2 linked regions of the Alligator mississippiensis genome follow. The protein of the gene in region 1 purifies or fractionates together with the protein of each later gene. This does not show direct contact. Links are inferred from orthologs where the notes say so. Each region holds a gene or a part of one and is shown on either strand. Other genes may lie near its edges.

Region 1 (3,907 bases):
ACATCAGGGGCTCGGTGAACAACTGTTTACCTGGGTGCCCTGGGGGAAAACTAGAAACAACGGCCACAATCTCCTGGAAGATAGTTTCAGGCTGAACATTAGGGAAAACTTCTTCACAGCTGGGGTGTCCAGACTATGGGACAAGCTCCCCCCAGAGGTGGTGCAATCATCTACCCACAAGGTCTTCAGGGGGAGACTGGACGGTCACCTGGCTCGGTCATCTGACCCCAGATGTCTTTCTTACTCGTGCAGGGGGCTGGACCCAATGATCCGTCGGGGTCCCTTCCAGCCCTGCGATTCTATACAGCAGATACAGATGATTTAATATACGGTCTTCCTTGCTACCACCTCCTTTCAGGCCTTGCGCTTTAACTGCATCTCGTTCCTGGTTTGGTTAGCCACGGGGTTGGCTTCCTTTCCTTCGCTGACCGAGCTACTGTCACGTCTGCAAAGGTTCAGGCGACGATCACCTAGAAAGAGGCTTTGCAGCTTTCTGCTTAGTCGCACACCCGCAGCTCGGCCCAGGCCCCTCGGAGATGGCCAAGGCTGGGGACGCTGGGCTTGCAGATCGCGGGCTTGGCCGCGGCAAGAAGCTGACCAGGTCCCGGGGCTTGGCGGGGCCGCGCCAGTGACGGGTGCGGGGAGCTGCTGAACCCGAGGAGCGCAGGAGGCGGAGCCGGGGCTGCAGGTGACGCCAGGACCGCCCTGTGCTCGCAGGAGGGGCCCATGCAGCACAGACACGCCCGCGGCCCCTTTAAATCCCCGCCCCGCCCCTCCCCTCCGCGCGCGTCGTTCCAGTGTTGGCGGCACAAAGCTTCCCGCGAGTGTGACGTCAGCGCCGGCAGCCTCCGCCCCACGTGACCGCGCGTGGCACCGCCTCCCGATTGGGCGTGCGGCGGCCTTCAGCGCATGACGTCGCGCGGCGCGGGCGGTGGTTGGCTGAGCGGCCCCGGGCTGGGAGGTGGTGTGCGGCCCCGCCCCCCGGGTGTGCGCGAGGCGGCGGCGCGTGGCAGCTGCGGCGGCTCCCGGGTCCGGGCCCGGGTCCGAGCCCCGAGCGCAGGCGGCGCCGAGCCCGGCCCGGCCCGGCCATGACGGACTTCAAGCTGGGGATCGTGCGGCTCGGCCGGGTCGCCGGCAAGGTGCGGGCCGGGGCGGGGGCAGGGCCCGAGGGCGGCGGGGACGCTGAGGGGACTGCGGGGGGGGGGCGGCCGGGCCCAGCAGCGCCTCCCCGCGGCGGTTGGGGGCGGTTGGGGGCGGGGCGGGGGTCTCCTCAGTCCGGCGGGGCAGGGCAGGGCAGGGCCAGGCCGGGCCGGGCCGGGCCGGGCCGGTGGCGGCGGCGCAGCGGCCCGGCCACGAGGCTCGGCCCGAAGCGCCGCGGGCCGCATCCCAGCACGAGCCGCGCCCGGGGCAGGCCTCCGCTTCTCCCCGCGCGGGCCTGGCTGGAGCCGCCGCCGAGTCCGCCACTTCGTTTCCCGGCGTCCCCTGGGCGGGTGCCCGCAACCCAGCTGCGGACCGGGGGTTGCCCTGCCGGGTCGTGCCCAGAGCCGCGGGCCTGCTGCAGTGCGTGCTCCTGTCTGGCCGGCGCCCACCCGCACCTGTGCTGGAGGCTCCCCGGGTGCGCCCTGGGCTCAGGGGACATGGGGCAAATCGGCCACGCCAGCCTGGTTTTGGGCTTTCCCAGTAGCTAGGGACACGGCGGGTGCCGCCCACGCACGTGCAGTTTCGAGAAGCGTGAGGCACTCGATATGGGCTTAACCTACTACTCTGTTCTCCTCCTCCCCGAACCTAGCGTCAGGGAAGGGAGGCCTGGACTGATGGCGAGAGAGCACGTGGGATTTGGAGCCGGCTCTTTGCCAGGAGTTGAGCAGCCGTAGAAATGAGACGGGGATTCTCCCTCCCTGAGCTGTCAGTGGCGGCTCTCGACCGGAGACCTGCTCTGGGGGCTGGCTTCTTCCAGATCCTGGAAGGGCTGAATAGTTTGTTGTCTCACTGATGACCTCAAAAGTGTTCACCGTCCCGCTGGGTGTTGTCTCCGGTGTGCTGGGGGTCTGAGTGTTTTGTCCGTCCATTCCTGTGCGGATCACCATTATTACGTGATGGCCTATAGCCACAGATCTGTACCTGCATAAACTGGGTGGCAAAGTGATCTTATCAGGACTTGGTTATATCAGTGCTGCTTGCTTACTTTGCTAAAGTATTTCAAGTTCAGTTTGTTTCAGAATCACTTCAGGATTGACTTTGGATCTTTTAAGACATTTCAGCTTTTCTTAACTGCTCTTAATATGTTTGATATATTTCAGACAAAGTATACGCTCATAGACGAACAAGACATCCCATTAGTGGAAAGTTACTCTTTTGAGGTGAGAAATCTAAACTCCCTTTTTAAAATGAAACAAAAAACTCCTGTATTGTCTGACCGAATGTATGGTAGCTGTATTTTGATTAGAGTTGTGCCACCAAATCGTACGTCTACACAGTGGTTGAATACGTCCTTCTCAGCTGCGTGCTGAGGTAGATAGATAGTTTCATGCCTAAATGACTTGAAGTGGTTTCTGGGATGGTTACAGACCAGTTTAACTGTCTTTAAAAGAAGAGTTTATTGGAAATTATTGAACAGACTTTTTTTGTTTGAATGCTTATTTGTTAGAACAGATGATTTCTAGGAAAGGGCCGGCTTCAATAATTTTCACATTTTGAAGGAAATTTGAGAGAGAAATATTTCCAGATGGTAAAAATGGAAACTTGGAGGCATTCAAAATGAGAAGTTACTTATTTATGGAAAACAAAGTGAAAATAAAGTGTAAAAATAAAAGTCTGAAGCCCAGATGCTTTGGAATTACCAAAATAATTTTTTTCCTCAGTCTAACTTAAATATTTTTGGATTTCAGTCTCAAATTTGAAACTAACTTTTCTTATTGATTTGAGGTGAGGAAATGTCTCAACCTTAAATTTTCATGGGGCCAGAGAACTATTTTCAATCCGGGTCTGCTTCATGGTGTTAAACTAGATCTACCTGGGTTTATCATTGGAGGGGTTTTCTTGATTTAAAAAAAAAAAAAAAAATCCCTTAGTCCTTTCTCTATTAAGAAAGACTTGCCTTGTTCTGCTTGAACAGTGCCTCTACCAATGTGGTCATGGCCTCTGATTGGGGTTCTTCAGTGCTACAGTAATAGAATGAAGTTTGTGCTTCATTTTTTTTTTTTTTCCATTTTCCCAATCTCATTAGTTGTTGCTGTGGTGTTGCAGGTAAAACTGCTAGATTCTGAAGCAACTAATATATCCACTCCATGGTGGATATTTATCTTTTAAAAGTACATAAATAATGTCCTAGTACCATAGCTTCAGACATTGGTTTCCAGTATGTTTATTCTCTCAACAGTGCTATGGAGTAAGGAAGTGTTATTATTGCTACTTTACAGAGTGGGGATGAGGCTCAGAGAAACTGGATATATGTGAAGTCTAGTGCAGAGCAGGGAGTAGACCTTAGACTGGTGCTGGATTATTATTCCCATTTGCCTAAATGAAACTTTCTTGTACTGGACAGCCCACTTTTGTCACCCCCAGTCATCACAAAGTATAACTTTGTGGTCCCTGCCTAAGGGAGGTACTAAATAGCCACTTAACTGAAATCCCATTAAGATCACCTCCCATGTGATAGATTTCCTGCAGTTGCTGGGGGCAGACATTGTTGGGTCTTGGTGTTTTCCTGTCTCCCAAATCCCAGATGGCACTTTCTGTGCTGCTGCTGACAGTTGGATGCCCTCGGTCACAGAACACTCTTTCCTTCTCCCCAGGCTCGGATGGAGGTAGATGCTGATGGAAATGGTGCTAAAATATTTGCTTATGCATTTGACAAAAACCGAGGAAGGGGATCTGGGCGACTACTGCATGAGTTACTGTGGTAGGT
Region 2 (3,907 bases), on another chromosome or scaffold:
CAGTGTAATGATTCTGTCCCTAATTGATGTAGACTTTCATATCATTCAAGAAGAAACAGCCTGATCTTTCTGGGGTACCAGCAGGGTTGCAAAGCTTTTACTTAAGATCTCTTTCTAGGTTACTTCCTCCTCCCTGCAGCTGATCTAGGTTGGCCAGTCTTGGATGTTCCTTTCTAGCTTCACCTTTTTTGTTCCCTAAATACTTGCTGCCTCTTCCTTGTTCTTTGCTGTCAGCAAGGCTCCACTCAGCCCATCATTTCTGGGATGAAATCTTAAGTGCCACTGAAGTCATCCCCAAAATCTCTGACCAGTGAGGCCAGGATCCCAGGTCTCATTCCTTCATGCTTTAACATCCCTTGGCCATAAGTTGCTGCTTCCACTCATTTGACCATTTCCAAGCAAACATTTTTGTTGCCTAAATTTGCTCCAGCACTTTGAAGCTGCTGGGCCATGAGGGAGCTGTTTCTTGTTGATTTGAAGGTAGAGAGAACAAACCATGTTTCTTCTCAGCCCCATCCTGGAGCAGGGGGCCCTGCTCCCATGTTTGGTACCAGGTTGGGGCCTGGGACAGGGGGGCTGTATTCACAACCCGGGTCAGAGAGGTAGAGCTGTGCACCAGGCCTGTGTCACATGCTACATTTATCACACAATTCACCGGTGAACGGCACATCAAACTTGGACTGGGCACACCCACCACATGGCCATCCACTTATGAAAAGAGCTGCAAGACGGCTACAAAGCGAGTGCTTGAACAGGGGTAACAACTCTAGGTCTGGGTCCTACCCAACTCTCATTGTAAGGTGTGCCAGAGTCCCTGATGCCTTGGCACGGCTAGGGGCGTCAGCAGATTCCACACACGACGGTGCCTCGACCCAGCAGATTCGTTACACCTTTCCCGCCCTGGGGTGTTTTATGAATGAACGTACTACGCATGCGCCTCGAAACGCGACCGCCAGTTGAGTCTAACTCTGCCCCTTCCCTTCCCCTCCCCGGCTCCAAGGCAGCTTGCGCACGCGCAGATCTGACCTACAGCCCTTCCTCGGTGCGAGGGCAGCCCGCACATGCGCAGGAGCTCTCTCCTGCGCCGCTCGGCGAGTCAAAGGGCCCGTGGCGGCGCCTGCGCACTGGGCCGGGCCGGTGGAAGGCAGCTGGCGTTTGGTGCCGGCCGATTCGCGCAGGCCGCTCGGCTTGGCCCGGCGCTGGGCCCGCCCCTCCCCCGCGAGCGATGCGGCCCTGCCCGGCGGCGGCAGCACGGGGCTGACGGGAGGCGCCGCCGCCGCGCTTCCAAGATGGCGTGTGTGCTGGAGGCGCCGCTCCGCATGAGCGTCCTCTCGGTGAGGCCGCCGGGCCGGGGCGGGAGCGGGACTGGAACGGAACGGAACGGAGCGGGGCGGGGCGGGGCGGGGCGGGCGGCGCGCTGCGGAGCGGCCCCTGGGGCGGGAACCGGGACTAGCGCCGCCGCCCGGGCCGGGGTGGGCTGGGCTGACAGCGTCTGCCGCTCCCGGCCCGCCACATCGGTCGTTCTGCGCTCCGCTCCCCGCCCTGCCCTCGCCGCTCTGCGCTCCGCCCGCCGCCCTGCCTGGTGCCCCATTTGCTGCTCTGTTCCCGCCCCACCTGCTGCTCTGCTCTCCACTTGCCCCCTGCCTGCTGCTGAACTGCCTGCCTGCCTGCTTTACTTACTGGCTGCTCTGCAATGTGCTCCCTCCCCGCAGCGTCTGCTCCCAGCCCTGTGCTCCCCACCCCATCTGCCCCTCAGCTTTACACTTGCCACCCCACCTGCTGCTGTGCTTTCCCCTGTTCTGAATCTGGTGGACCACATGCAGAAGTGTCTTGTGCCCCTTGAGGCAGCTATGCCCCAAGTTGGCCACTCCTGGTTTAGTGGATAGTGTGTCTCAATGTTAAATGTAAGAGCCAAAGTAGTGTTTGTGTCCTGATACCACTTCTGCCTCATCATTGGCCATCCCATGATTCAAGGACTATCTCTACCATGGGTCACTGATCTTAGGGGATCTTAGGTGATTTAAGAGTCTGATCCTTGAGCCACAGATTTGTCAATTTTTGCATTAGATAGTTAAAGGGCTGAGAGGCATTTGGATGTTACCCTGGTGTCTTTCCCATTCTCTTGTCTACATCATGTTTAATTTTGGATTTCTTCTCTCCTTTGAAGTGAGAGCTGTAGTATTACTTTCTCTTTCAGAAGAAGCTCCTCTTGCCTTGTTCTACCTGCATTTATGCTGATCCTTGAGGAGGAGTTGGGTCTGCGCTTCCTGGAGGCCTGTATTTTTGCTAGGTAGAGCTGGGCAAATAAAAGACTACTCGGTTCGGTGGTTGAAGAAGAGGAGTGTTCTCAAATTGAAGCAGAACTTTGTTTTGGCATAAGCAAAACACATGTTCTGTTTCATTTGCAGGCACTTTATCTGCTTTGTGCCCCTTTTAAATCATAGGTCACTTCACATATAACAAAATGCCTTTCAAAGCAAACCGTTCTTCTGAAAATGTTTTGACATTAGAAAAAATCTTCCATGTTGCCACTGAAATAAGTGGATTCAGTGGGATTTCACAAGTAGTTTGGGTTATTTCAAAGCTCTGTTTTTCTGGCAAATTTTTACTGTTCACTGAAAACATCTTGCCAACCTCTTGTCTTGTTTGTAAAAACTGCTGTACAGGGATTGTAGAGCACTCTTGCCAGTTCATTGCCAGGAAGTGGAAATCAGCTTGGCAATAGAAGCCTGATCCCTTTGCTCTTGTAAGTCTTCTGGGTCTTCTCAGGTGGCCTAGTTGCTGTGCTTTGTAGTGCAGGGAGGAGGCACATCCACTGCAGTTGCCCTTTGATCTTTTGGTGGGGTATATTGCTTTTAAGTGGATATTGAAAGGGATGCTTTCATTCTTTGCCTCTGGGACACGTTTGTTTACTGACTGCAGTTGTGTCCCATGTTCGTAAATCCTAGCTTGCCAGCCTCAAATGGTATCTTGCAGTAACTGTGTCTTAACTCTTATGAAACAGCTTTTAGGTAATGTCCTGCCCACTTGGCATGAAATGGTCTAGAGGCCAGTTGCCACTTTTATTATAAATAATCTTAGTCTGTTTTGGTTTGCTTTTTCTCACTAGGTAAGAAGACATTGTATTTGATGGGTATAAAATTTGCCTTGTACGCTATGTCCAGCCTGGGGTATGCAGTGATAGCAGCTTTGGCTGTGGCTTTAGGTACAGGGAGATAGCTGATCTGGCATGGGGCTCAGCTCTGGTTTCTGCTGCCTGGCCTGTGCTGGAGCTGAAACTGCAGCCACTGTACTTGCCCTGTGACATAGCAGCAACAGCTACAGTTCTGGCATGGGCAAAGGGGTGATGATGAGGCCACTGGCAGAGGAGTTAGGACTGCAGCAGTGATGACACAAGAAGTAGCAAGGAATGTATCAGCCCTTGCTCACCTTTCTGCTGCCAATCCCCATGTCCATCAGAACCCAAGGATGCTTGATACCAGCTGGGGTGCATCGCATGCTGCAGAAATCTGCCAGTGTCCTGACACTCCTGCTTTACCTGAACTTTAGAGCTGGTCAGCAGGCTAGAAAGCAGCAGATTCTAGCTTTGGAAGCTTAATGAAGGTCTGGACCTAAAATCTATCTGGGTCCTGCCTCACCATACATGCCCTGCCTCACCTGGGCTGTGCTGAGACTATCCTGCTCCCTTGGGCTAGATAACCAAAGTGACGTAATAAGCAGAAGCCATTCTTGAAGGAAATGTAGATCTAGATGCTCCAGGTGGTTCATCTTCTGCCCCTTGATGCCACACTGGTCTGGAGGAGGGCAGTACCACACCAGAAATCCAGCTGGATAAAGAGGTGAAGGTTTAGTCCAAGGTCACTTGCCATTCCAAAAACAAGGCAGAGCTTCCACAAATCACCTTCAT

What was found.
Region 2: the proteins of ZMYND19 (region 1) and ARMC8 purify together in Homo sapiens (affinity purification with mass spectrometry; 4 studies listed by BioGRID and IntAct, with this or other methods). This does not show direct contact. The link is inferred for Alligator mississippiensis from reciprocal best matches to the Homo sapiens genes ZMYND19 and ARMC8.

What each region holds. Positions count from the first base shown.
Region 1 is NC_081835.1:49,282,671-49,286,577, forward strand, and holds the start of ZMYND19 (zinc finger MYND domain-containing protein 19), read left to right. Parts: upstream 1-981; 5' UTR 982-1,088; coding exon 1,089-1,139; intron 1,140-2,300; coding exon 2,301-2,360; intron 2,361-3,794; coding exon 3,795-3,901; intron 3,902-3,907. UniProt on the Homo sapiens protein: May be involved as a regulatory molecule in GPR24/MCH-R1 signaling.
Region 2 is NC_081830.1:29,559,485-29,563,391, forward strand, and holds the start of ARMC8 (armadillo repeat-containing protein 8), read left to right. Parts: upstream 1-1,251; 5' UTR 1,252-1,289; coding exon 1,290-1,334; intron 1,335-3,907. UniProt on the Homo sapiens protein: Component of the CTLH E3 ubiquitin-protein ligase complex that selectively accepts ubiquitin from UBE2H and mediates ubiquitination and subsequent proteasomal degradation of the transcription factor HBP1.